3 linked regions of the Struthio camelus genome follow. The protein of the gene in region 1 purifies or fractionates together with the protein of each later gene. This does not show direct contact. Links are inferred from orthologs where the notes say so. Each region holds a gene or a part of one and is shown on either strand. Other genes may lie near its edges.

The links.
Region 2: the proteins of FBXO10 (region 1) and ACSL4 purify together in Homo sapiens (affinity purification with western blotting; 3 studies listed by BioGRID, with this or other methods). This does not show direct contact. The link is inferred for Struthio camelus from reciprocal best matches to the Homo sapiens genes FBXO10 and ACSL4.
Region 3: the proteins of FBXO10 (region 1) and PDE6D purify together in Homo sapiens (affinity purification with mass spectrometry; 3 studies listed by BioGRID and IntAct, with this or other methods). This does not show direct contact. The link is inferred for Struthio camelus from reciprocal best matches to the Homo sapiens genes FBXO10 and PDE6D.

Annotation. Positions count from the first base shown.
Region 1 is NC_090982.1:2,321,296-2,328,754, forward strand, and holds the start of FBXO10 (F-box only protein 10), read right to left. Parts: upstream 3,064-7,459; 5' UTR 2,921-3,063; intron 241-2,920; exon of another isoform or gene 1-240. UniProt on the Homo sapiens protein: Substrate-recognition component of the SCF (SKP1-CUL1-F-box protein)-type E3 ubiquitin ligase complex. Mediates the ubiquitination and degradation of BCL2, an antiapoptotic protein, thereby playing a role in apoptosis by controlling the stability of BCL2.
Region 2 is NC_090952.1:8,895,822-8,903,664, reverse strand, and holds the start of ACSL4 (long-chain-fatty-acid--CoA ligase 4), read right to left. Parts: upstream 3,068-7,843; 5' UTR 2,902-3,067; intron 1-2,901. UniProt on the Homo sapiens protein: Catalyzes the conversion of long-chain fatty acids to their active form acyl-CoA for both synthesis of cellular lipids, and degradation via beta-oxidation. Preferentially activates arachidonate and eicosapentaenoate as substrates.
Region 3 is NC_090950.1:21,896,442-21,904,483, forward strand, and holds the start of PDE6D (retinal rod rhodopsin-sensitive cGMP 3',5'-cyclic phosphodiesterase subunit delta), read right to left. Parts: upstream 3,024-8,042; 5' UTR 3,010-3,023; coding exon 2,865-3,009; intron 1-2,864. Other genes in the region: COPS7B (COP9 signalosome complex subunit 7b), read left to right, coding at 7,940-7,996. UniProt on the Homo sapiens protein: Promotes the release of prenylated target proteins from cellular membranes. Modulates the activity of prenylated or palmitoylated Ras family members by regulating their subcellular location.

The sequences.
Region 1 (7,459 bases):
TCACCACTCCTCCTCTTCCAAGCTTTCCCTAAAAGCCATGGTCAAGTAAACTGCACTTGATGGAGCTCAGCATGATTTATAAATTGGTGGACTCCCTGTGGCAAAATCAAATTCATCACTGGGGATACTGTGGAAAGACGAATAAATATAACCATGTCACCTGCGAGAGTTAATCGCGGGCGGGGGCGCGCGTCGCTCCTCCGCTTGGCTCGCTGGGGCGGAGGCAAGACGGCAGCTGGGAGCAGGGCGGACAGCAGCGCAGCGAGGAGCAGGTGGCGCCGGGAGCCTGGCCCGCCGCCCCGGCGCACGGCGTGGGCCCGGCGGAGCAAAGGCCGCCCCGCCGCGGCTCCGCGTCCCCGCACCCGCGGATGTGTCCGCCGCCCACCCCGCGCCGCGCGACCTGCTTTACTGGGGCGGCGAGCGGCGCCGCTGGCAGGAGGGAGCCCGGTGTCGGATGTGGCCGCTGGCCGGCTGCCGTCCGCTCCCCCGGTGCAGTTTCTGCGCTGTGTGACAGCTCCTCGCGAATCCAAAGACGCAACTCGCCGGCGCAGAAAGAGCCTGGCTCCAGCAAGGCTCCAGGCCCCGATCAGAGCCCTCAGCCATGGTCTAGCACGTAACACGAGCTGCGTAAGTTTTAACAACAACAACAACAAAATAGTAGCAACATCAGCTCCGCTGCTGGTGCGCAGAGCTCCACCCATTGCCTGCTGGGCTCCGGCTGCCCGCACTTGGGAGAGCTCGGCTGCAGGTTAGCTGATGCCTATGTCAATGCACTCCAGGCAACCATCCAGGACTGGGCATCCACCCTGGAAGCCTCCTCCCGCCTCAGACACACACTGCATGGAGATGAGCACCACAAAAGCAGGGTTAAGCTATTCCTCTTCCTATCGGTGATCCACCCCATGTACATCCTGGTCAGCCCTGAGAATTAGGAGTCAAACGCCATGGGAAGAGGCACTGGACAGTGCTGGAGAATATTCATTTGAGCACCTTTATACACAGCTGCAAAGAGCGTGGATGTTGAGACGTACACAGGGCAGAGAAGTTGTGTTTTCTTTACATCTAAGCATTCACCAAAAGGAGACACACAATCACTATTAAAATGAACAGATTAACTTACTCCTGCTACAAGGGCTGAACACTTGTGTTTTACAACCCCACAATAAACTTGCCTATGCTACAGGTATAAACATGGAAAGCGTTTGGCTGGGAGGGACCTCTGGAGGTCTTCAGTCCAATCCCCTGCTCCAAGTAGGGCTCAACCCTCAGGTTGTGCAAAGCCTTCTTCAGGTGAAAGCTGAGTACTTCCAAGGATGGAGAGCCTCCTAATGCTCCAGGCCTGGTCCCAGAGCTGCACCAGTCTCACGGGGAAGCTTGTTTACCAGGAACTTCTGTTGCTGCACTGTTGCTGCTTCTCCTCTTACAGTGCACATCTGAGAAGAGCGTGACTCTGCCTTCTGTGTAAACCCACTTCAAGTAGTGGAAAACTGCAATTAGATACCACCCCTCCACCTTCTCTTTTCTAGACTGATCAAGTTCAGCTCTCTCAGCCTGTCCTTGTACATCATGAGCTCCGGCATCCTGACCACCTCAGTAACCTCGTAAAGAACTCTCTCCAGCTTGTCAATATCTCTCTCCTACTGGGAGAGCCGGAACTTTTTCAAACTCTCGTTAAGAAAGGATTTCAACATTCTGAGAATCTCTCTTCTTCTGGATGGCTTGTTTTGTCTAAGCCTCACTTCAGGAGGAGTTCCCAGCACTCCCTAATTTATAGTCTACTGACATAAGTGCTGTTTGTTAGCTAACCTTGGCAGCTTTCACCGAAGAGCAGCTGCCCCGGTGAAAGCGTAAGCGGTAGGCTAGAGAGCTGGCTGCAGCAGGGATAAACAAGAGGACACGAGGGCCACCTGAATGGAAACTTCCAGCAAAGATAGATGCATGCCTGGTTGAACCAGAAATTCACAGTGTTAGATGTTGGTACAGGCCTCTAAGACTTGCCCAGAGAGGCTTAAGAAATTATTACAACACAAAGCAAAGATATAAAGTGCTTTTGTACTGTGTTATATATGCGATCATAGCGATCCCCCAACCCTAGAGACACAAGTTTAGCACTACCTCCCTGAAAACAACAGAAAGAGCTTCATCAACCTGAAACCCTTGGCACAGGCTCTTCTGCAGATTATTCTCACAGTATCTGAGCAGCGGTAGTAGCAGAACCCCTGCATTGTAACTATTACAAACTTCCTGAAAAATCCCTGGGAGGGGGACACAAAACCCAAGGCTGGATATAGAGTTGGAGTTGTTTTTTCATCTGAGAACTGGGGTCTGGGAACTCAGTTCCTAGGCAAGCTGGAATTTCTCCAGTTCAACCTAAGGGAATCATGACACTTGCAGCATAGCATCTTTGGTCCTTGCAGCAGCGTGGGACAAGGAACGGATCAGATGTGGTAAGGACAGTGGCATAGGAACAGGGCTGAGCATCAGGCTCTGGAACACCCAGATGTGATAAATCACAGAGGTAGTTCAACAGCCCAGCACTTTTAGACTGCTCTATGATCTGATTTTTCATTTCTAGTTCTGAAATTTTGGATTTTTCCCCCACCAGCATCTTTCCAAAACAACTCTTTTCTGTTTATCTGCTGGGCCTTGGAGACAAACACAGAGCTGCTTTGCTTCCTAACTTAAGCACTGCCCAGCTAAACCTGCTGGCTGGTGGCAACAGCCTGGACAATCAAGAAGTAGGGGTCAAATTCCTAGCCCTGCCACTGGACCTCAAGATGACATCGACCCACAGAGCCTAAGCCTCTCCAAAGAAGGTTAACGATGTGTCCTTTACAAGATGGTTTCAAACCTATTAGTGAAAAACAATGCATTATTCATTAGCTGTTGAGCAGAAGCTCAACACTTCGTACGAATTTACCTTCTGCCTTAATTCAGGTCGAAGATGCACAAAGAGTACGGGAAATCAATCTTCTGCGCAACTTTTCAAAGTATTTGCCGCAGTAAAGCTTCTGCATTGGCCAGCAGCAACAGCACACTAACCGCGTACTTCGCCGCCTGCGCTGCGCTGCGCTGCGCTGCGCCACCCCGCCCCGCCCCGCCCCGCCCCGCGTCCCCACCCGCGTCCCCGACCCGCTCGGCGCCGCGGGCGCGCCCCCGCCCCAACCGCGCCCGCGCCCGGACCGCTCCCTGATTGGCTGAGGGCAGGCACGCTCCGCCAACCGCGCCGTCGTCACGTGAAGTTAACGCCAGCTGGGCTTTTTTCGTCTCCCCTCTTCGGTTGCGTCACCCTGTGCGCGAGCCGGCGGAGTTGCGTCATACGGAGGCGCGTCGGCCCGGTGGAGGCGCGTCGGGCCGGGCCCGGCCGGCCGGCGGCGACTCCCGTCCGCGTGCCGGCCCGCCTTGCCCCCGCAGGCACCATGGCAGCCCGAACAGGTGTGTCACGGAGGAGGGCGGGGTGGGGGGGGCGGCGGCCGGTCGCCTGTCCCTCTCGCCTTGCTCCGCCGCGGCCGTCCCGCCGCCCGCGGCGCGGGGAGCGCCGCCGGCGAGGCAGGTCGCGCGGGTCTGTTGCGCACGCGCGCCGGGCGGCCGGGCGGTGGAGGGGGTGCGAGGCGCAGCCGAAGCGACGGCGGGCGGGCTCGCGGGGCGGCCGCTCCCCGCCGACCCGCTCCCTCGGGAGGGCCTGACCTTGATCGAGCCTGAGCTGCCGGGCGGCTGCGTCGCTCCGTGCGTGGCCGCGGCGCTGCTGGGGCCCCCCGGCAGCGGAGGGCACACGCGCGGGCGCTTTCCGGGAGGGGCAGTCGCTAACCATTTCAGTGAATGCCTTCAGCTGTGTTTTGCCTTGCTTGCTTCAAAATGACCGCTTAAGCGACTGCCCTACTTACTGTTTGCACCTTTATTTTGTTTGTATTCGCTTTGCATTGCCTCACTTCTTACACCAAAACTGTTACAATTGTTATGAGTGTCTTGCCTGTGTCTTCAAAATATCGGTGTCTCTAATGGGCCTTATGTGACAGGTCTTCATGAGCATCTTCAGGAACACTGAGGGTGTCTCCATTATGGTAAACTGAAAACATCAGCCTTTTTCCATGTTTCAAGTGGGTTCGTACTGATGAGACATTACTGTCTGGTGACTCTGGTAATCAGACACGCTTATAGTGGCAGGTAATCAAACTGAATTGAATCAAGCTGTTGAAAAACACAAACAAAACTATAAGCCTTCAACTGGCAGTCTGTTTGGCTTTAGACAAAGCATAAAGGCTAAATATTTAGGGCCAATATTTGCCATACTTGATGGTGAAAGAGTGCAAGTTTGTAATACTGCTCTGACTGAGTGTTCAGTCCTCAAGATAATGTTAAGCAATGAATGGGCTGTGAGGACTTTCTAGGTAGCACATTAACCCCACAGTGGTCAGTAGTTGGCAGTCAAGATTGCAAACTTTGTGATCTCCTACCAGTATTCCAGATGCGAAGGAATACTGGGTACCAGATAACGCTTCCTCTTTATTCTCTCCCTTAAGTTTCTGATCTAGTGGGTCGCGTGTCAGCATTTTGAAGAGCGTGGTCACTTGGCAGGTAAATTGGCTCAAATCATAATTAGAAGGACTAGATGCTATATACCACAAGATGATAAAAGTGGCAGGCACTGGAAAGTATGGACTTTGCGGTAGGGAACATGCTATGAGAAAGAATTGCATGTATCCCCTTTCACAGTGCTCTGAAATTTACCTACGAGGTGAGGGGAGTTCCTGTAAAGAAATTGTATATTGTAACAGCTCCAGAGACTTGTACATATTGGCAATGCTGTCGATCAAAGCTTTTTTTTCTTTTTGAGAACTATTTCCTTTCTAACAAATTTTAACTAGGAAGCGGCTTGTGTACCCTAGTACTTGTAGGTAACAAAGGCCTTATGAAATACGGCTGAAAGAAAATGTTCTGTCATAAATGCCTCTGGGAAAAACTTGCCTGTCTCTTGCACCTTCCCATATTATGAGCATGAGAACTAAGTTAAACTTCTCAAGGGTTAACAAGGTGTCTCTGCAGTTTTAAATGCTCCCTACTTGACAAATCTAGCCGTTCCACCAAAGGGAACATGTAGCTTGTGAAACTAAACTAGGTGTCTCTCTTTGTTTTATTATGACTGTATTTTGAGGAAAAAATGGCATCTGGGCCACAGGCAGCTCTGTCACCAGTGAAACTGTGACTAGTCAAACGCCTTCGCTAACTGTTTTGTTTCTAGTGATACTCTTCCCAGCTGCAGTAGCAAAATTAAGCATATCCCACTCCTCGCCTCCTAGTACAGAAGTGCGTGAGACCAACTTGTCTTCAGATGTGGCTATTTAGTATATGCAAATTGACCTAAGTGGATCAGAAGAATACTGTAAACTCGTGTATATAAAGCAATACAGGCTCTCTAATAGAATTCCTCTCGGTGGCATTACTCTTTGTATCAGGCTAAACACTTCATCTTTGTTAATCATTTATGTGGTGCTTTGCCTTGGCAGACCCTAATAAAAATAGGGAATAAAGAAGGAAGTGCCTATGGGAACACGTTATGGGGAAAGCTCTCATGCCCTTTATTGAAAAGTCAGTGTGCTTGGGTGCCTCTCTGAAGTGCCTGTATACTAATGCATGCAGCGTGGGGAACAAACAGGAGGAGTTAGAAGTCTGTGTGCAATTACAGGGCTGCAATCTCATTGGGATAACGGGACCATGGTGGGATAGCTTACAAGACAGGAACGCTGTGCTGGATGGATACAGGTCCTCTAGGAAGGACTGCTCAGGAAGGCAAGGAGAGGGAGTTCTCTTTTATGTGAGAGAGCAACTGGAATGCACAGAGCTCTGCCTGGGGTCAGCTGAGAGCTTATGGGCCAGCATTAGTGGGCTGACCAACATGGCTGATGCTGTAATGGGTGTCGAGTGTAGATTGCCTAAGCAGGAAAAAGACAATTGTTCTTCAGAGAGTCGGACGAAGCTGTGTGTTCAGAGGGCCGGGTCCTCCTGGACGATGACAGAGATATATATTCTGTCTCTCTCTACGTGTAAAAAGATAGAGACACTATCCAAGCATGTAGGGATGGGGTTAGGAAAGCCAAAGTCCATCTGGAGTGAAACTGGCAGGGGCATAAAGGGCAAGAAAGGCTTCTGTTAAGTACACAAGTAGCAAAAGGGAAGCTAGGGAAAATGTGAGCCTACTGCTGAATGGGGCCTGAGCCCTAGTGAAAACAGACACCAAAAAGGCAGAGGTACTGAGCGCGTTCTTCATCTCAGTCTTTACTGGTAAAAACTGCTTTCAGGAATGCCGAGACCCTGAGATCAAAGAGGAAGTGGGGAGCAATGACAGCTTACCCTTGGTGGAAAAGGATCAGGTTAGGGAATGCTTCAACAAATTGGACAGACAAAAGTTCACTAGTCCTGGCAGGATGCACACACAAGGGTTGAGGAAGCTGGCTGATGTCATTGCAAATCTACGCTTGGTTATCTCTGAAAGGTCATGGTGATCAGGAAATGTTCCTGAGGACTGGAAGATGTCACTCCTGTCTTGAAGAGCAAAAAGAAGGATCCAGGGATCTACAGGCTGCACGGCCTCACCTCAGTCCCTGGGAGGGCAACAGAGCAACTAAACCCTGGGTGCCATTTCCAGACTTACAAAGGACAGGAAGGCTATTGGGAGTAGTCAGCATGGATTCATAAATGGGAAATCATGACTGACCAACCTGATAGCCTTCTATGATGAGATGACTGGCTTGGTGAATGAGGGAGAGAGCAATAGATGTTGTTTTACCTTGATTTTTAGAAAGGCTTTTGACGCTGTCTCCTGTAACATCCTCTTGGCAAGCTGATGAAGTACAGGCTAGTCGAATGGACAGTGATCTGGACTGAAACTGAACTTAACTGCTGGGCTTAGGATTATGCTCAGCAGCACAAAGTCAAGCTGGAGGCCAGTCACCAGTGATGTGCCCCGGGGTTTGATATGGGGCCGGTACTTTTTAGCATCTCCATTAATGGATGATGGGATCAAAAGCAGCCTCAGCGAGTTTGTTAATGACACCAAACTGGGAGGAGTGGCTGACATACCGGATGGTTATCCTCCTGTTCAGAGGTACCTCACAGGCTGGAGACGTGGGTGGGGAGGAACCACATCTTAAGGATAAAGTTCAACCAGGTGAAGTGCAAAGCCCTGCACCTGAGCAGGCATAAGCCCATGCACCAGTACAGGCTGGGGGCTGACCTGCTGGAAAGCAGCTTGGCAGAAAAGGTGGTGGATAAGTTGAACGCAAGCCAGCAATGGGCCCTCATGGTAAAGAAGGCCAACGGTATCCTCGGCTGCGTGAGGCAGAGTGTTGCCAGCAGGTCGAGGGAGGTGATCCTTCCCCTCTATTCCACCCTGGTGAGGCCATATCTGGAGTGCTGTGTCCATGATGGGCTCCCCAGTGCAAGACAGACATGGACCTGCTGA
Region 2 (7,843 bases), on another chromosome or scaffold:
ATGCCTGTCCACTGTAAAGCATAGTTCTATTAGCAGAAGAGAAATACTAAGTTTCCCCTTTAGGCCCTTCCAGGCTGCTTGCCTACTCCATGAAGCACCTTCCACACGGAAAGGTGACAGAGGGCAATGCCAGCTACAGGAAGAAGAGGAGGTAAGGTAACGCTGAAACAACAACAAAGAGCCACTCTCTAGCTGCTGTCGAACACAGGAAAAATAAATAGCGTGGCCAACTTTGAGATGCATCTTTGACAAAAAGGATGTTACTTGGAAGACGCTGTCCCATCTAAATAACAAGCTAGTATATGAACAAAGGGTACAAAAATGTAAGTTTTTTGTCCCAGGAAACTACTTCCCTCTTTCAATCAAAATTCCTTTTCCCTTGAGAGAATAAATGCCCTGAAGAACAGGGACCATGCGGTTAGTTGTGTATACAATGAATATTTCCCTTAATAATTAACTCAATCTCTTTTTCATTTCAGTAATTTATTAAAAACATTTTTCTTAGGGATAAGCACTCGATCACTTGTCATCTTAACTACCTGACCCCATTTATTAATGAATACCTTTAAAATTAATAGAATTTACATGTTTATATCTTTGGCTCACGCTCAGACTACTCATTGGGGTCTTAACTTTATTTAAAACAGCATAACAGGGTCCATCTATTTTACTAGACACATATCTTAATATTGCTTGAAATACATTTGTATCTACTACTGCCTTGCTTAGCAACTTGTTCAAGTGTTATTTTTCTAGTTTTATAAAAGAGCTGAAGCATAAACCTGTTGTTAGAAGGAGGTCATCCACAGAACACTGGTAATTATGATGCTGGAAATTTATAGCTACTGATAAATGTTAGATTATTCAGTCATCAAACAATGGGCGATACTGTCACTTGCTAGCACGCTATATATTACAGATAGTGTTAAAGATAATACATGAGTAATGTTTGCATGAGATGCAAATACCTGAACAATTAACATATCATGAAAGCCTTACCACAGAGTTTTTAATTTGTTTTTTGTATTCTCTGTTCTAAGTTTATATAAGCTAAGTTTAAGACAGCAACGAAGGGAAATTGGCAGGCAAAAAGACATGAGGGATAAGTTTAAAAAAATACTAATATAACCTTTTTGTGGAGATAATTAAGACTTCTGTAGAACTGTATTCAACTCAAACTTTGCAACTTTAAATAAATAGAATAAATAAAGAGAAGAAAAAAATAAAACCAAACAATTTGTCTGAAACTGGTGGAACATTGTTATTTGTACCTTTTGCTTGGTAGAAAATATAATTTAAACAAATCCCCAAAGCCAATAAGATTTTCACATATTAGGAAAAAATAATCTGTGCTTTCTAATCATTGGGATTTCTGATCCCTGACCAACTGTGAAGACTGAAAAAGTCAAAGTCAATTAAAACAATAAAAAAATATATTGTTTCTAATTACTATTTGTAGCTTTACTGGCAAAGCCATAAATGCACATACGTCTACAGTATTAAGTGACAAAGAACTTTGCATTAATATTTTTATGTTACAACAGACCAAGATGAACAGAACAAAAAAAGTAAGGACGGGTATTATTTTGAATCTGATAATCACGTTTTGCAAGCATCATGGACTAGAGAAATTCAGTTTATCTGCAACAATTCTCAATTTACATCAAATCTCTCTGTACTCTCAGCCTATATTTATTATCTTCACTAAAAAAATCAAATTTGAAACAATTATATTAGATAAAAGGGTTATAAAAAATAGTTACAAAATAGCTCACAAGTTGCTATAACTATTTCATTAAAGCAACAAGAGGGATAAAAGATAATTGGGGCTTTATTTAGTTGCCTGATGTTGGCTTATTTAGTGCTGACACTCTTCCGGGGGCAGGGGAGGGCATGAAGCACACATGCACTTTCTTTTTAAATCAGCTTAAAATATCTGCAAAGCATACAGATATTTTAGGATATTGCAAAGTGAAACTTATCTCAGAGGAATCAAACAACAAAAATAACCAACCGCTTTCTTGCATAGGAGCAGATGCTCCTATGACGTGAAACAGAAAAAATAAGCATTGTGCGTAGCGTTGAGCAATGAATCACGTTTTCCTGGGTTTCTGCGTGTGCTCGCTACATCAGCATCAGACCATACCCTGAGCCCGGCCTCCTCTTTTGCATCTAGAAACGCAAAGGTGGGAGGGGGCTATGGGGGAAGAGATAACGCTGTTGATTGTATCGGGCAGGGTTCACAAAACCCGTCTGGTTCCCAGGAAGGGAGATGAGCAAAAAAAAAAAAAAAGGGGGGGGGGGATGATGCTACTGCAAAGCAAGAAACAGGGCGAGCAGCCTCTTCTGCCATCAGGTAGCTGGGCCGCTAAGAGCCAAGCGGCAGAGGATGCTGCTGCTGGCCGGGCGCGCTGACAGGCAGGAGGAGAGCGGGGAAGCCCGGGGCAGCCAGCAGCGCTGCCCCGCAGAGCCTGCGGGCCGCGGCCACCTCACCGCGGAGGGAAAGTCACAGAAGGACGCGGCAGCGTCCAGCAGGGAGCAGGGAGGGTGCCCCCCCAGCAAGGAGCGGATGCGCCGAGCGCAGAAAACGCGCAGCGGCGGCAGATGCACCCTGAGGAGCTCTGCCCTTGGGAGCCAGCCTTCCCAGGACCCCCGCCACCTGCCGCGGCCGGCCCGCCCGCGCCTCCAGCGAGCCGGCCACCAGCCTGACCCCGTTTAACCCCCCTCCTCCCCTCAGCTGACCCGGCTGCCTCCGCCCAGGCACCCGGGGGCCGCGGTCCCAGCCCCGGCGGGGAGCGCCATCCGCCCGCCGGCGCAGCGCGACAACCGCCCCAAGGCCCGCCCGTCCGCGGCCGTTACGCGGGGCAGCGGGCGGGCGGGCGAGCGCGCGCGCGCACTCACCGCCCTTCGGCTCGGCTCGGCTCGGCTCGGCTCGGCTCGGCTCGGCGCGGGCGGCGCAGAAGGCGGCCCGCGGCGGCCCCGGCTGCTAAAATGGCTGAGAGCGCGCGGGGAGGAGGGCGGAGGGCCGGGGGGAAGCGCGAGGGGCGGAGCGAGCCCCCGCGCCGCCGTCCGGCCCCCGCCCGCCCCGCTGGCGCGCAGCCGCGGCCGGTGGGCCGCCCCCCGAGCGCCTGTCCGGGGCCGGCTTTAGTCCCCTCGGCTGCCGAGGTGCTTAGCGCGGTCGGGGGCGCACGTGTCCAGGTGTCCTCTTCCTCCGGAGGGTCTGCATCCTGACGGGGCAGAGAGACGTTACGGGGAAACCTGGCTGCAGACATGGTTCAGGCAGATACCGGTCTATTATTACACGATTAATGTTAGTAGTTTTTCCACAAAGGCCGCGGGACCGTCAGAACTAGGGGCGCAAGGGAAAAACACTTCAAGGAGTAGCCCCCGGCCTCCTTAACCTCACGACGGCCTCCACGCTTTTGTTAGCAGGGTTGAACCAGAAGAAGGAACACCATTTGTCCAGACCTTTCCGGCTGGACTAGACGAGCACACGGGGTTTGCTATCCAGATATCCTCTCGGACAATTTGGAGACCATCAAGTTGCATCTAAGGCCCCCGTGGTCTTTTCTCAGAACGCAAGAAATGGGTTTCAGCAGCAGCACTGACGAGAGCAGCTTGGATTACTCACAGTGCAGTTCAAAAAGCCAGAGGCCACAAATATCCGTATGATTCATGCAAAAGTTTGCCAGGTGGTTTTACATGTCTTGGAGGCTTCTTCAGAGCAGAGCTCACACAAAATAACTCTAATTCTGGAGAGGGCAAACAGCCCCCTTTTAACAACATGCAAAGGAAAAGAAAGCATTTTCTGCTCTCATCAATGCTGAGCGGAAGTCCAGCACAATCCTCCCCCACGCCATATGGACTGGAGCAGGATGTGAAAAAGCAAGATTACAAACCAAGCTGTAATTATGCTGGGCAACAACTCTTTGTTGCCATAAAAGACAACACCTTGCAGGAGCTAAAATATTCTGGCTACAACAGAATACGCAATGCAGATATTATGCTTAATAGTTCTTACTCTTAGAGAACTAAAAAATGCACCGCTTCCCCAGATGGAGGCTGAACTGAATCACTGTGTGGTTTTTGCTTTGCTCAGGCTACACGAAGTTTAGCGCAGTCCCTTATTGCTCCCACTATGTTCTGATTTGTTTCAAACCTCATTGTTTTGCTCCATGTCAAGTCATCGCTAATGAAAAGGCCTGGATTGTGCAAGATGCCCAAAGGCATGTCTGTTTTATGCAGACTACATATTTTTTGATCCAACCTCTCTGTACTTAGAAAAGGTGAGGCAAACTTTTACTTACTACAGAACTCTTTGTGACTAAAACACAGAAACACTACCCTGTTTTCCAGATCTTCCTGATAAACACTAAAATGTGTAAAAGAATGTATCTGCAACTTGTTCTAACTATTTCATATTTCCTATAGCCTTAAGTTTTAAATTAACTGAGCTTGGATTTACCAATGATGTATCACGTTAGCAGGCAAGAAAGCATGTATTTTGTGCATAAGCTAGCTGGAACACTGGGATGGCATCAGTGGCCAGAGCAATGACCCACTTAGCACAGTATGCTGTTTCCAGTGGTGACTGGTGATGTCTCGGGAAGACTATGAAAACAAGATGTGTACATAACAATACTTTCCTGATACATACTCTCAGCTTTCAGAACTCTGCAGCTCGGAGACTTTTAGCTAGAAGTAGTATATTTCTGTTTACTAGCTCTTCATAGGCACGCATGGAAGAAAAATCCAATTGCTCTCTTAATCCATAAAAGCTTTGGCACCTACAGCCTGATGCAATGAATTCCTTGGTTTTACTCCATGCTGTGTGAAAATCACTTCTCTATGTTTTGAGCTTTCTGACTGTATTTCCATTTGATGTCCCTTATCTTTTGTGTTAATTAACCATGAATTATCATTCTCTCCTCTCTGTCTCCATACCATACTCTGTCTTACAGATGTGTGCCACAGACTCCTTGCACCACAACCTCATTCATCTTCTAGGCTGACAAATCTAGTGTTCCTCAGGTGCAGTTTCATAGCACTTAAAACAAATTCAAGTTGCGGCGGCTTCCATCTCTCTGCTTCAGACTGCATGTTCTTACTCCCACATGGACCTTGTGCTCCAGGTTGTGTGCTCTTGCCTGCAATTCTTCCCTCACCTCTTCCTTCATGCCTTCCCTATAGGAGACCTCACCATGTTACGGGACCTCCGTATTAGCCTCCTCCTGGCCCTGGACAAGCTGGCCATCTGTGCCACTAGGATGAAGCTCAGTGGCGGATCCAAATGACTGTGGGGTTTGTCCATTCATGTCTGCAAGCACAGCCACCTCTGAGCGACATCCAGCGTCAGTGGCTCAATGCCCCTCTCTTAATCCATTTTTGACCTTTTGGTCCTCACATTCCCTCCCTTTTTTTCATTGATTGCCCCTTTAAGCAGGGGATACGTTCTCCATGTTCCTCTTACTCTAACCTTTTTCTCCATGCCTGAAGGGCTTGACAATTTGGTTAGGACTAGATTAGCACCTGCTTTTAAAATAGAAGACAAGAAATCCTTTGTACTCAGCTATGCTTGTCTGACCCTACAGTGAGCTGGTCACTGAGCTAAATCAGGTGAGAACTAACCCCCCAATTTCTCACCCTACTAAGAAAAAAATAAAATAAAAAAGCAACATTTTTGGAGGGCTCAGCTCCCCACAGGATCAGTAAGTGCCAGTACAGTGCAGGTAGAGGCAGGAAAGAATGACCACAGCAGTTCTGCGCCCTGAGTCACTCACCCTGTAGAACCATTCTGAATCTTTGATGATCCCTCTGTTCCTCAAGAACTCTCTTCTAGTTCTTTCTGCGGTGGGAGAACTCAGATGGGCACTGTTTGGATGCTCTAGACTTTCATTTTTCTGCAAAAATATATCATTTTTAAAAACTAAAAACTGTTACTAACATATTCAGTGTTGACAGTTTCTTTTCTAGGACACAAGAATAAATTGTTAAAAAAGAGTTATGCCATCATTAATTGAACCTGTTTTAGAGAAGTAGTTTGAGATAGTACATTGGGTTCCAGTTTTCCCTGCCAAAACTACTTTCTGTTGATTTTTAAATCACTTTTTCCTACTTCTACTAAGGTCTACCCAAACAACAGGGGAAACTAACTAATTAAACAAAGGCAGTACACAGAAGTTCTATCTTATGCATAAAGTTACAAAAAATTAGAATTTTATTTAGATATGAATTATCTCTTTCAGTTATAGATATCTATGTCTTATAAAAAAAATAGTTAAAAGGAGCCTGATTGGTAGGATGACAATGTTCCCCTAAGTGCCCAGCCAAGAACTACACTCTCTGGAATTTTATGTTTTGGAAGAGTGAACAACTAAGTTTGCTTCAGGGAACAAACACATTTTCAGGAAAGCTAGAAAAACAATCTCGTTAATTACAGTCTAAGGAAAAAATACAACCTATCAGTTTGTAGTCACAATAATGAGCCCTAAATTAAGTTTACTAAAAAAGGGTATCCCAATGCAGGGTGCCTTTTTCAATGGAGGTTTTGGAAGCAATACTACCTATGGGAAACATTTCCTGTAGCTACTGGTACGTAGAGGACTAACTGAATTACATAGGATTCACTGAGCGTGGCAGTTCCTCTTTCATTTGTCATAAGAAATAGTTGTGTTTAAACTAGTCATTTGAAAACTTTTAAATGTTCTTCATCTTTATCACAGAAGTTGAAAGGAGTGAGAGAAATGAATGTAGAGGAGAGACAGAGCCAGTCTAGAAGACCTCTATTTTTCACCTATCAGTCAGGGAAAGTTCCAAAATGGTAAAAGTTGCTGACTTCTCCTCACCTTATTCCTGGTTTCAGGAAAGGAATTGCATAATGTCAGCTCTTTAAATATAAGTAATAATCAATATTTGGAGCCTTGTGCATTGTTTATTTCTATCTGGAGCACTGACTGGTAAAATCAAGCATTTCTCTAATGCTATCCTATTTCTTCACAGAGTATACAGTTGGAATCAAAACAACAGAAACCAAATTTTGCACACAAGCTTTCTCTGCCTTTTTGTAGCAAGCACTCTTCACAAAAACTTGTCTTGGTTTTGTCTCAGGTTTACACTAAAAAAAGTCAAAGGAGAATGCACTTTCCATGTTATCTTAATAGATACCTTCTGATAACCCTGAAAACGCTATGAGAAGCACAGCTTCAGAGTGTTAATCCCCAAATAGATGGACATTTTAAGAAAGAAAATAAGCATTGTATAAGTATTATACATAAATAAGTATTTCTGATCTATACCACAGCAAGCCTAAAGAAAGCTCCAGCACTCTGGATTTAATTTTGCTGGTGTAAACAGTTACGTATGTCTTATTAGAAGAAAATACGCAACTGTGTCGTCATCAAAACAGCTGCACATATGTCAAACAATCACTGTACAAAACAAAGTATCTAAAAATGATTTTCTGGACTTTAGAGGAGACCTTGAAGTCATTACAAGGAGGACTGAGTATTTCTCACATAATAAAATATGTTCAGTGCTAAAGTCTGTAAAGAAAGAAAGAAAATAAAATGCTATAAAATTAAATATTTTCTTAAATGTTCATAAGATCCAGTTTAAAGTGCACAGCCACAGTTATCAACAGTCACAACAGGCCAGGCTTACTCTAAAGAACCCATTAGATTAGGATAGATTATAACGAAAAATATGGCTAAATAATTCTGTGTTCTTCAGGTCTATTCCACATTCTTCACATTGCGATCTCTTGAGTCTTATAAATTCCTCCAAGAATATCACAATATTTTAAGCACTATGATGCCCTAATTCAGTATTAAAGCATTCTGGAAAT
Region 3 (8,042 bases), on another chromosome or scaffold:
AGGCATAGTTTGTTGTTTTTCAGAAATGAAAAACATGAGTGGGGAGCACAAACTCACTTGCTGTTTTCTAGAGGTTTTTCTTGAATTGTATTGGTGCAAGCTAGTTAAGTTAACACAGCTTTGGCTCTCTACAGAGTACATTTCCCACCTTCTAAGGAGCCCTGATCCCTCTATTAGCTGGCTAGTGCCTCCTTTTAACCAATGAAACCAGTGATTCATCATTATTTAACTGCAGGAAGTCTTAAACCAAGATCTGAGGACAAGTGCACAGAAAACCTCAGAACAAAGTGTTTTAAAGGGCAATTAAAGCTGCCAACTTGCCTTGCAAATAAGGCAATAAATGAGCATTTTTACTTAAGCAGTTAAAGATCTACTGACCTAATAAAAATAGGCTGGAGACTCAACTTGACAGAACTTTTGGATTTGACAACTGAATGCTACAAGAAGCAGCCCAAAACTTTGGGGACTGTTCTAGGAACTGATAGGCAAGACTTCCATTGGCTAGTTTTTTTTTGTGTGTATATGGCAGAGGCAGGGTAGAAGCTGTGGAAGGAGAACTCTCATTGTTTGCAAAGCAATATAAGGTTCAAGGAAGCTGTTCATGGTTTCTGATATAGCTAACCCTTACTACAGCTCTTGGGAGGATGGACAGAGCTTAACAGGTTATTGTACTAGATTCACTTCCTAGACAGAAATAATGGCAAGAGAATTGGAGGAAGCACTGGGAGACAGGAGGATGTCATACAGGCAACTTCAGGGATTTTTCAGAAGTAGGAAACCCTTTGACATGTATGAAAAGCTCTGCCTACAAATGCTGCAGAGTGTATGAGCTACAGCTATGGGCTTATACTGACGACAAATATTAGTTTCACAACTCCATCACAATTCTCACCTGAATGCTGTCTCTTTGTGCTTAAGTTCAGCATATCAATTTGTTTTTAGGAGACTTCTGAATGAGTACAGTAGGATAGGCTGTATAGCCTCAAATAGAAATTCGCACACAACTTTACTCTGAACTAATAAATGTCTATACAGCAACTAACTCTGAGGTCCAGTTCTGATGAGGCTTTTCTGTACAGAAGCCAGTACAATAGCTGATACTTGGAATTTTAAGATTTAGAACTGAAAACTGGATATGCTTACTCATGTCTTGGAAGGTTAGGCTTAGCACCTTAACTATACTATGAAACTTGGGGAGCTTTTTAGCTCTTGGCTTGTTCAGGGTTTTCTTATTGTTCTGGCAGAAACATTACTGGAAGAACATAACCAGAACTGTGGTCCCTCAAGAGCTGGATGTGAATGGGCTGTTGCAGCCCATGGTCAGATATTTCTAATCTACACCATGGATACTTTAAGAAAGCAAAGCACATATGCTTTCCAAATGCTGGCAAACTGGGTTAAATAGAACAGTTGCCTACAATGTCCTTATACTAGTGAACACAGCACAATAAACAGTTTTCTGCTACTTTATATTTGAACAAAGCTATAAAGGCAACCCACAAATTACCAAGGGAGTTAAAACAAAAAAAAAGCCATTGAAAAGTAACTCTTCAATGCCAGGTTTTGACTGTTATGGGGAAACACTTTCAGTGCTATTCCTCTATGAAAAAGGATGTTAAACATACATTTAATGGTACACAGTAATTGTAAAGATAAAATGGCAGAATGAAACCTGAAGAATATGTTGAAAAGATAAGCGTGGGCCAAATAACATTCTAGTCTTTAGTTTGACAGAGTAACTGTCTCATCTTCTGGAAACAAGCATAGTCAAACCTCCTGCATTTGAGACTGCAGACCAATTGTGCATTAAATACTTGCAGAAATGAAAACTCACCCAATATTCCAGAGGAGGATGCTTTAAGTTACCATGTGAACTGACAGTGCCTATAGTCAACCAACTAGTTTGCGTTCACATAACACAAGGCTACCTGTAGATATTAATGGTTTTTTTCCCCCCAAGTATAAGCACTGCTGCTCAGAAGAGTGCCTTCAAAACGGGAAATTCATGAACGTGCTGTAAGTTTTGTTAACAAATGCAGTCTTCAAGAAATGACAAGCTATAAAAGTTGCTGACTAGTGGCTTTTCATCTTTTAAACTTACAAATTGAACAGACAGCGTGCTAACTGGTGCCCTAAAAATTCTTAGGACAAGTATAATATCCTCATTGGCCTGCAAACTTCAAATACTTCTAGTTTTCATCTTTTCAGGAAATAGCAAAATCTGAGAAAAGGGAGTAAATGTTCCTGGTTTGAATTTGAGGACACTAGCCACAACATGTTTCTGCACTAGTGTCATAGAGGAAGGAAAGAATATCTGTGTACTGAAGCCAGAGAGTGGATCAGGGCTACGAACTAATTTCCACAGCAGTGTGTCTCAATCAGTTGGAAAGTTTGTATTCAGCCTCTTCTGGGGAACCAGAACTACAAACTGAACTTGCTTGAGGCAAACTTTAACAACTCAATGTGAGCTGAATTTCCAGGTGAAGTGCTTGTTCTGTGTTAAAGTAAGCAAGCAATTCAGAGATCTACTTCCTCAATGATACCACCTACCCTATCAATTGATCTAACTACACAAGGCATCTAGTATGTCCATACCCTCGGTACCACTGTGCTAGTTTCTTGTGCTAAAGCAAGCACAGCTTCAGGTGCCAAGTTTGCAGGGTTTGCTTAAGTTGGAGTTAACTCCTCCTTCCTGGGACAGGAGGAGGAAGTTTAAGTACTCCAAAGATAAATGTACAGCTTTTCAGGATGTGTTCATCTCTTCTGTTCTATTAAGGAAATTAAAATAGCAGATATAGCAGTAGACTGGGCAGAAAAATATTACATTTATTTAAAATGTAATGTTCTTTAGAACATATACTCACCCATAGAAAAGGAAATAGAAGTCTGAGCTGATGGCTGTCTTACAGTGAGCACGGTCAGATCTGGGCATGAGTAGTTTCCTGTGTGGACGGTGCAGCGTCTCAAGGCTTTTTCTCTTACAAATGAGGAATGTCTGTCCAGCCGCATTTACTTCTGGTTTACTAAATACACACTGAGACTGTTTTTTGACTGTTTTTACTTATGCAAAGTTCCAATTATAAATTTTTTTTGAGAAAAAGCTTTCTTGCTCCTTGGACTTAAAGGTTTTATGCTGTCTGGACTATATGGCAGACAGTAAGCTGAGCTATCATAATACTCTAGCATGTTCTCAGAGAGGCATGGTCAAGTCTTTTACTGCCTAAAAATGTCCTGTCATTTGGTTGTCACAGGTAATACTATCGATTTCAGTGACCATGTAAGGGAAGAGTGAACTTGAGGTTCTTCAACCTGGAAGTGCAGAGTACTTCTACTAAATGTTTTTGCCTACACTATAGCTGCTTGAGATAACGGAAGTTTACCTTCTGTTACACACCTCTCAAGGTGAAAAAAACATTCTGTATTTAAGCCAACAAACTACTAAATGAGTTATTTCATCCAAAGCTGGACAAATGTCCTCATAAATTTTTCTCTCCAGTGAAGACCATATACAAATGCACATGAAAAGTAGTTAAAAGTTTGTTCCCTAAGGTTAACTTTCCAAACACTTTTCGTTTCTACCAACATGTTAGCCTGGTCTTGTCAGAAGCTTATGCTTTTGCTAATTGCCTGTACATAAGGCTGTTCAACTATTTTTGACTAGGTATTACAACTTCATGAATAAAAAGAATTGTCAACATTGTTACTTTAGAAGCAAAGCAACCAGCTGCACTACTAAAAGGTTGGGGGAGGGGACAGTGATTCAAAAGTTGAGAAGCATCTGCTTATAGTTCAATAGTAGCTATTTGGCTAAATCCAACCTAGAGCATCTCGGATCCTGCTACAGATGGCATACAGATCGCAAACATATTACTGACAAAAAGCTGTTCAGAAATAACAGTATTAGATCAAGAGGGAACTTCTATCCTTTTTCAGTATTTAAAAAAAAAAAAGTGATTTCACCCTGTGTCTTAAGGTCAAGCTGGGAAGCTTGCATCTGTCTTCTAAACTTAGAACCTGCTATAATAAAATGAAGTTACTTCATTTTATAAGTAGGGCATATTTCTCCCACTCTTGGTTTGCATATGGGCCTTTGGATTGAGCCTTCCTGTACTGAAATTGTGGGTTGGAAGGGTGTGTACAGGGTCTCATTTTTCTTCCTAGCTCAGATCTGTCTCATTTGCTCAGGATTGTATCTGTATTCACATAATACACTCAGATGTAAAACAGAGAAGCTTTTTGAGAGCTACAGTGCTAAAGCTGCAGAATGAATTGCACAGAAAGGCATTAGCACCTATAATATGTTAGCATCAGCAACAAAAGACACCTTACAACCAACAAAACACGTGCCAGTACCTCACAGCAAGAAAAGGACCGAGACACTTTGCTGCTGCTGCTGCACTTGGAGAGCAGATATTTCCTTCGGCGCAGAGGTGCCTAAGCAGCTGCGGCTCTCGAGGGGCGCGCCAGGAGGACGGCCGAAGGGGAGGGAGCGGATCCTCCCGGGACGGAGCGCGCCGGGCTCCCGGCTCCTCACCTGCCCTCTGCGAGCTCGGGGGGCTCCCGCTGCTCCGGCGCCGCCCGTCAGCAGCCGCCCGGTGGACAGCTCCGGCCTCCTGACCGGGATCCCCCCGCCAGACCGGTCCCGAAGAGGGGGGGGGAGCCCAGCCAGGACCCCGCGGTGGGGCTGAGGGTGCCCCCAGCCCTCCCCATTGGGCGTAGCCTGCTCCCGGGAGGAGGGGACCCCCCCGCCCTTCCCCGCTCCCGGGGGGGGGGGGGGCCGCGAGGGAGGGGAGGACGACACTGGGAACAGCCTAGCCGGCGGGGGGGGGAGGTGGTGGCGGTCTCCATGACAACCGCTCGCCCCCGCCCTCGGAGACGGCGATCCCCGCACTGGCCACCCTCCCTCCCCCCCCCCCCCCCAATCCCGGCCGGGGCAGATTGGGCCCGCCCGCCCGCCCCGCGGCCCCCGTCGGGCGGATACAGCTTGAAGCCCCTGAGGATCTCCTTGGCCCGCTCGTCCGTGGCCGACATGGTCCTGCCGCGCCGCGCCGCGGGCGGACGGGGCTGCGCCGGGCTCGCCTGGCTCCGCGGGCCTGGGCGGGAAGGCGGCGGTGACAGCGGCGCCTCAGGACCCCCCCCACCCCTCCCCCCCCGCACTCCCTCGCACCCGCCACTGGCCAGCGCAACCAACCCCAGCGGCCTGGCGCCGCCCCACCCCCCCGGCTCCCAGCCGCCGCCAATGAGCAGGGAGCGGCGCGCCGGCGCCCCGCCTACTGGAGGGGAAGGACGGCGCGGATGACCAATCAGACGGCGTGCCCGCTTTGCCTCCGCCTCTCCGCCCCGCCTCCCACCATTCAAGGGCGGCTGCGCAGCGGTCGTTAAGGCGTACGCCCCTGCCAAGCCTGACGTCGCCGGGGGACGGGAGTCGCCGCAGGACAAACCTTTTCCAGCCGGCTCCGCTCCGCAGCTGCTAGCGGCGGCCGCCGGGGGGCGCCAAACGGCGGCGGCGGCGGGCGGGGCGCCCTCTGGCGGCGGCGGGCCGCGCCCCTGCCGGCGGGGCCGGCCCGTGTCCCGGGCTCGCAGGCGGGGCTCAGGGGCCTGCTCGCCCAGCGGCGCCCCGCTCCGTCGCGCCGGCGGAGGGGCAGGAGGGGCATGCGCTGGGGGCAGGCCGCAGCGGGCGGTGAGGCGGGCGGGGGCGTCTGCCCTTCGCCCAAAGAGGGATGGTGGGCTCGAAGGCGAGAGCAACCGTCCCAGGGCTGGAAAATCCCTGTGGGAACGCGGGTCCGGCTGCTAGGGAAGCCGTGACCTGTCCCATAGCTAAGGACAAAGCAGCAGGGAGTGGGGCTGGAAGGGATGGGGCTCAACACTAACAGAAAGCCGTCTCTGATTTTGTTGAACGTCCGGTTAGGCTGCAGAGGCTGCTGTGTGTTTGAAAACTCAGGGACTGAGCGTTCCTCAGTCCGTAGGCTTTTTGAGGAAGAGTGAGGTCCAGACAAAGAGCTTTGGAAGAGAGAGAAGTTGTCCTGCTTGAGAAGAAACTCGATCCAAGTATACCCCTTTCACCTAGGGGCTGCCAGGGCCTCAGCTTGGAGAACACTGTGTCCTGTTTCTGTTTCTGTACTGGAAGAGGCCTCAGCCTCGTGTTTTGGCAGAGGGTCGCACACCTGCACAGCCATTCGTGTTAGCGTTCACGCGATGCGGCTCCTCACAGTTCGGGCCTTGCCTGGGAGACGTACGCTGGCAATAGTGCAAATACTGCTGGGACTACGCCCGAGCTAATCGAGCTCTGTTAGCGTTTCTCTTCGTAAGACGGGTAGATCTTGCAGCAAGTTCGTCCCTCAAATTGTTTGACAGAAGTTAAATTGAGCTCAAGTGAAGGATTAAGTTTGTAGTTTTGCAGGCTTCACTGTTCGCATTATGTTGCTGTTCTCGCTGCCTCTGTTCTTATATGCAGAGTAACTACTCTTCTGCATGTACCAAGGCTGGAGCTAAAAGGACCAGCATTATGGGGAAAGTTTGAAATGAATAGTTATGTTTCTCTGGAACAAAAGTGGCCTTCTTTGTACTACAGAAATTTGGCCTTTGTGTAATAAAGTAGATTCTAGGGGAAAGTCTCTGGCTAATCAGCGCATCCTAGGAGCCAGGCTATTCTTTAATATGAGCACGACAAATTAACTCCTCCGTTAACAGTCCAAGCACAGCTAATACAAAGCATTAATAAGCCCTGAGGAAAATAAACGCAGCAGTTGTAATCTGGTCCTCCTCAAAGTACCTCAGAACAGTACCAGCTAATAATCACTGTGCCATCAATATTTTCATGGCTCTGCTTGCCTCAAAATCAGCCACTGTACAAATGAGGAGAACATGAACATTCATAAAGGTCACAATTAATGCATTAAAGACAAGGCCACTTCCAGTATAACCAGTAAGTGATCTTAATAATAAAAATAGGTAGCATTTATTTCCCTGATGTATGTGATCCGTGTTCAGTTCCACACCATCAGTTTAAAAGTGTATGAACAGATCATTTTGAATCTGGGCAGCAAGCCAGGGGCACACTATGCTAATATATATCTATCTTTTATTAAGAGTCCTTCCTGGCTTTGAGATAACGTGCAATTACACGCCCTATCTAAGGAATGGGGAATAAAGCTCACTGAGGAGACAAGACTGGTAGGCATAAAAGGTGAGCAAGGAAAAAAGCAGAGGTGAAGAAGGCAAAAAGCAAATGGTCGGGTATACGTGAAGAGTCTGTCAGGTGGAAGTAGGACCTGCTGGATTATGGAAGACATAAGGAGCTCAATCCCGCCTCTGTTCAGGCTGCAGAGAGAGGAAAGAGCCACCCAAAAAATGGATGTCACAGCTAGGAGCTCCTGCAGCATTAAAGGTTTCTCTGGCTGTGTAGGGCTTACGTTGAGTTGTCGTGAGATCTCTGTTATATGTAATTAGTAGGGGAGCCTCGAGGGGAGATGAGCACAGGGGCAGGAGACTTTCCAGAATTTAGAGTTGGGGCCTTTGAGTTTTCTGATCAAATCCCAGAGTTCTCAAATTCACCTTGAGGTGAGTCTCTGAGGTGAGGTAGAGGCAGTCTCTGCATCTCTCACATTTGAGCTCCCAAAAGTCACAAAAGAGGTAATGGCTGAAGTGTTGATGTCTTGTGACTGCTCCGGGTATGAGCAACAGTGAAACATGTGACACGATAACTCAGGCAGTGACAGAAACCCTGGGATCTCCCTCCTCTCAACATCCTTTGGCTGCATTAACACAAATAACACCCTTTAGCACATCAGCTTTCTGATCCACTTGCAAGACAGTTGTTCCAAGTCTCAGCATCCCTTTGTACCAACTTTGTGCTGAAAACTTCACCTTTTTTCCTATCTCTGGAGCACGTGGAGTTGGCAGGTGTCACAGTTTCTGAGCTGTCATTGCAGACAAGAAGATGCCTCCAGCCTGCTTTCTGCTTCCCCAGAGGACAAGTCACTGCTGTTCTCCCAAGGTACAGTTAAATGAAGTGCTTTTTCTCCGGATTAGCATGACTGGGA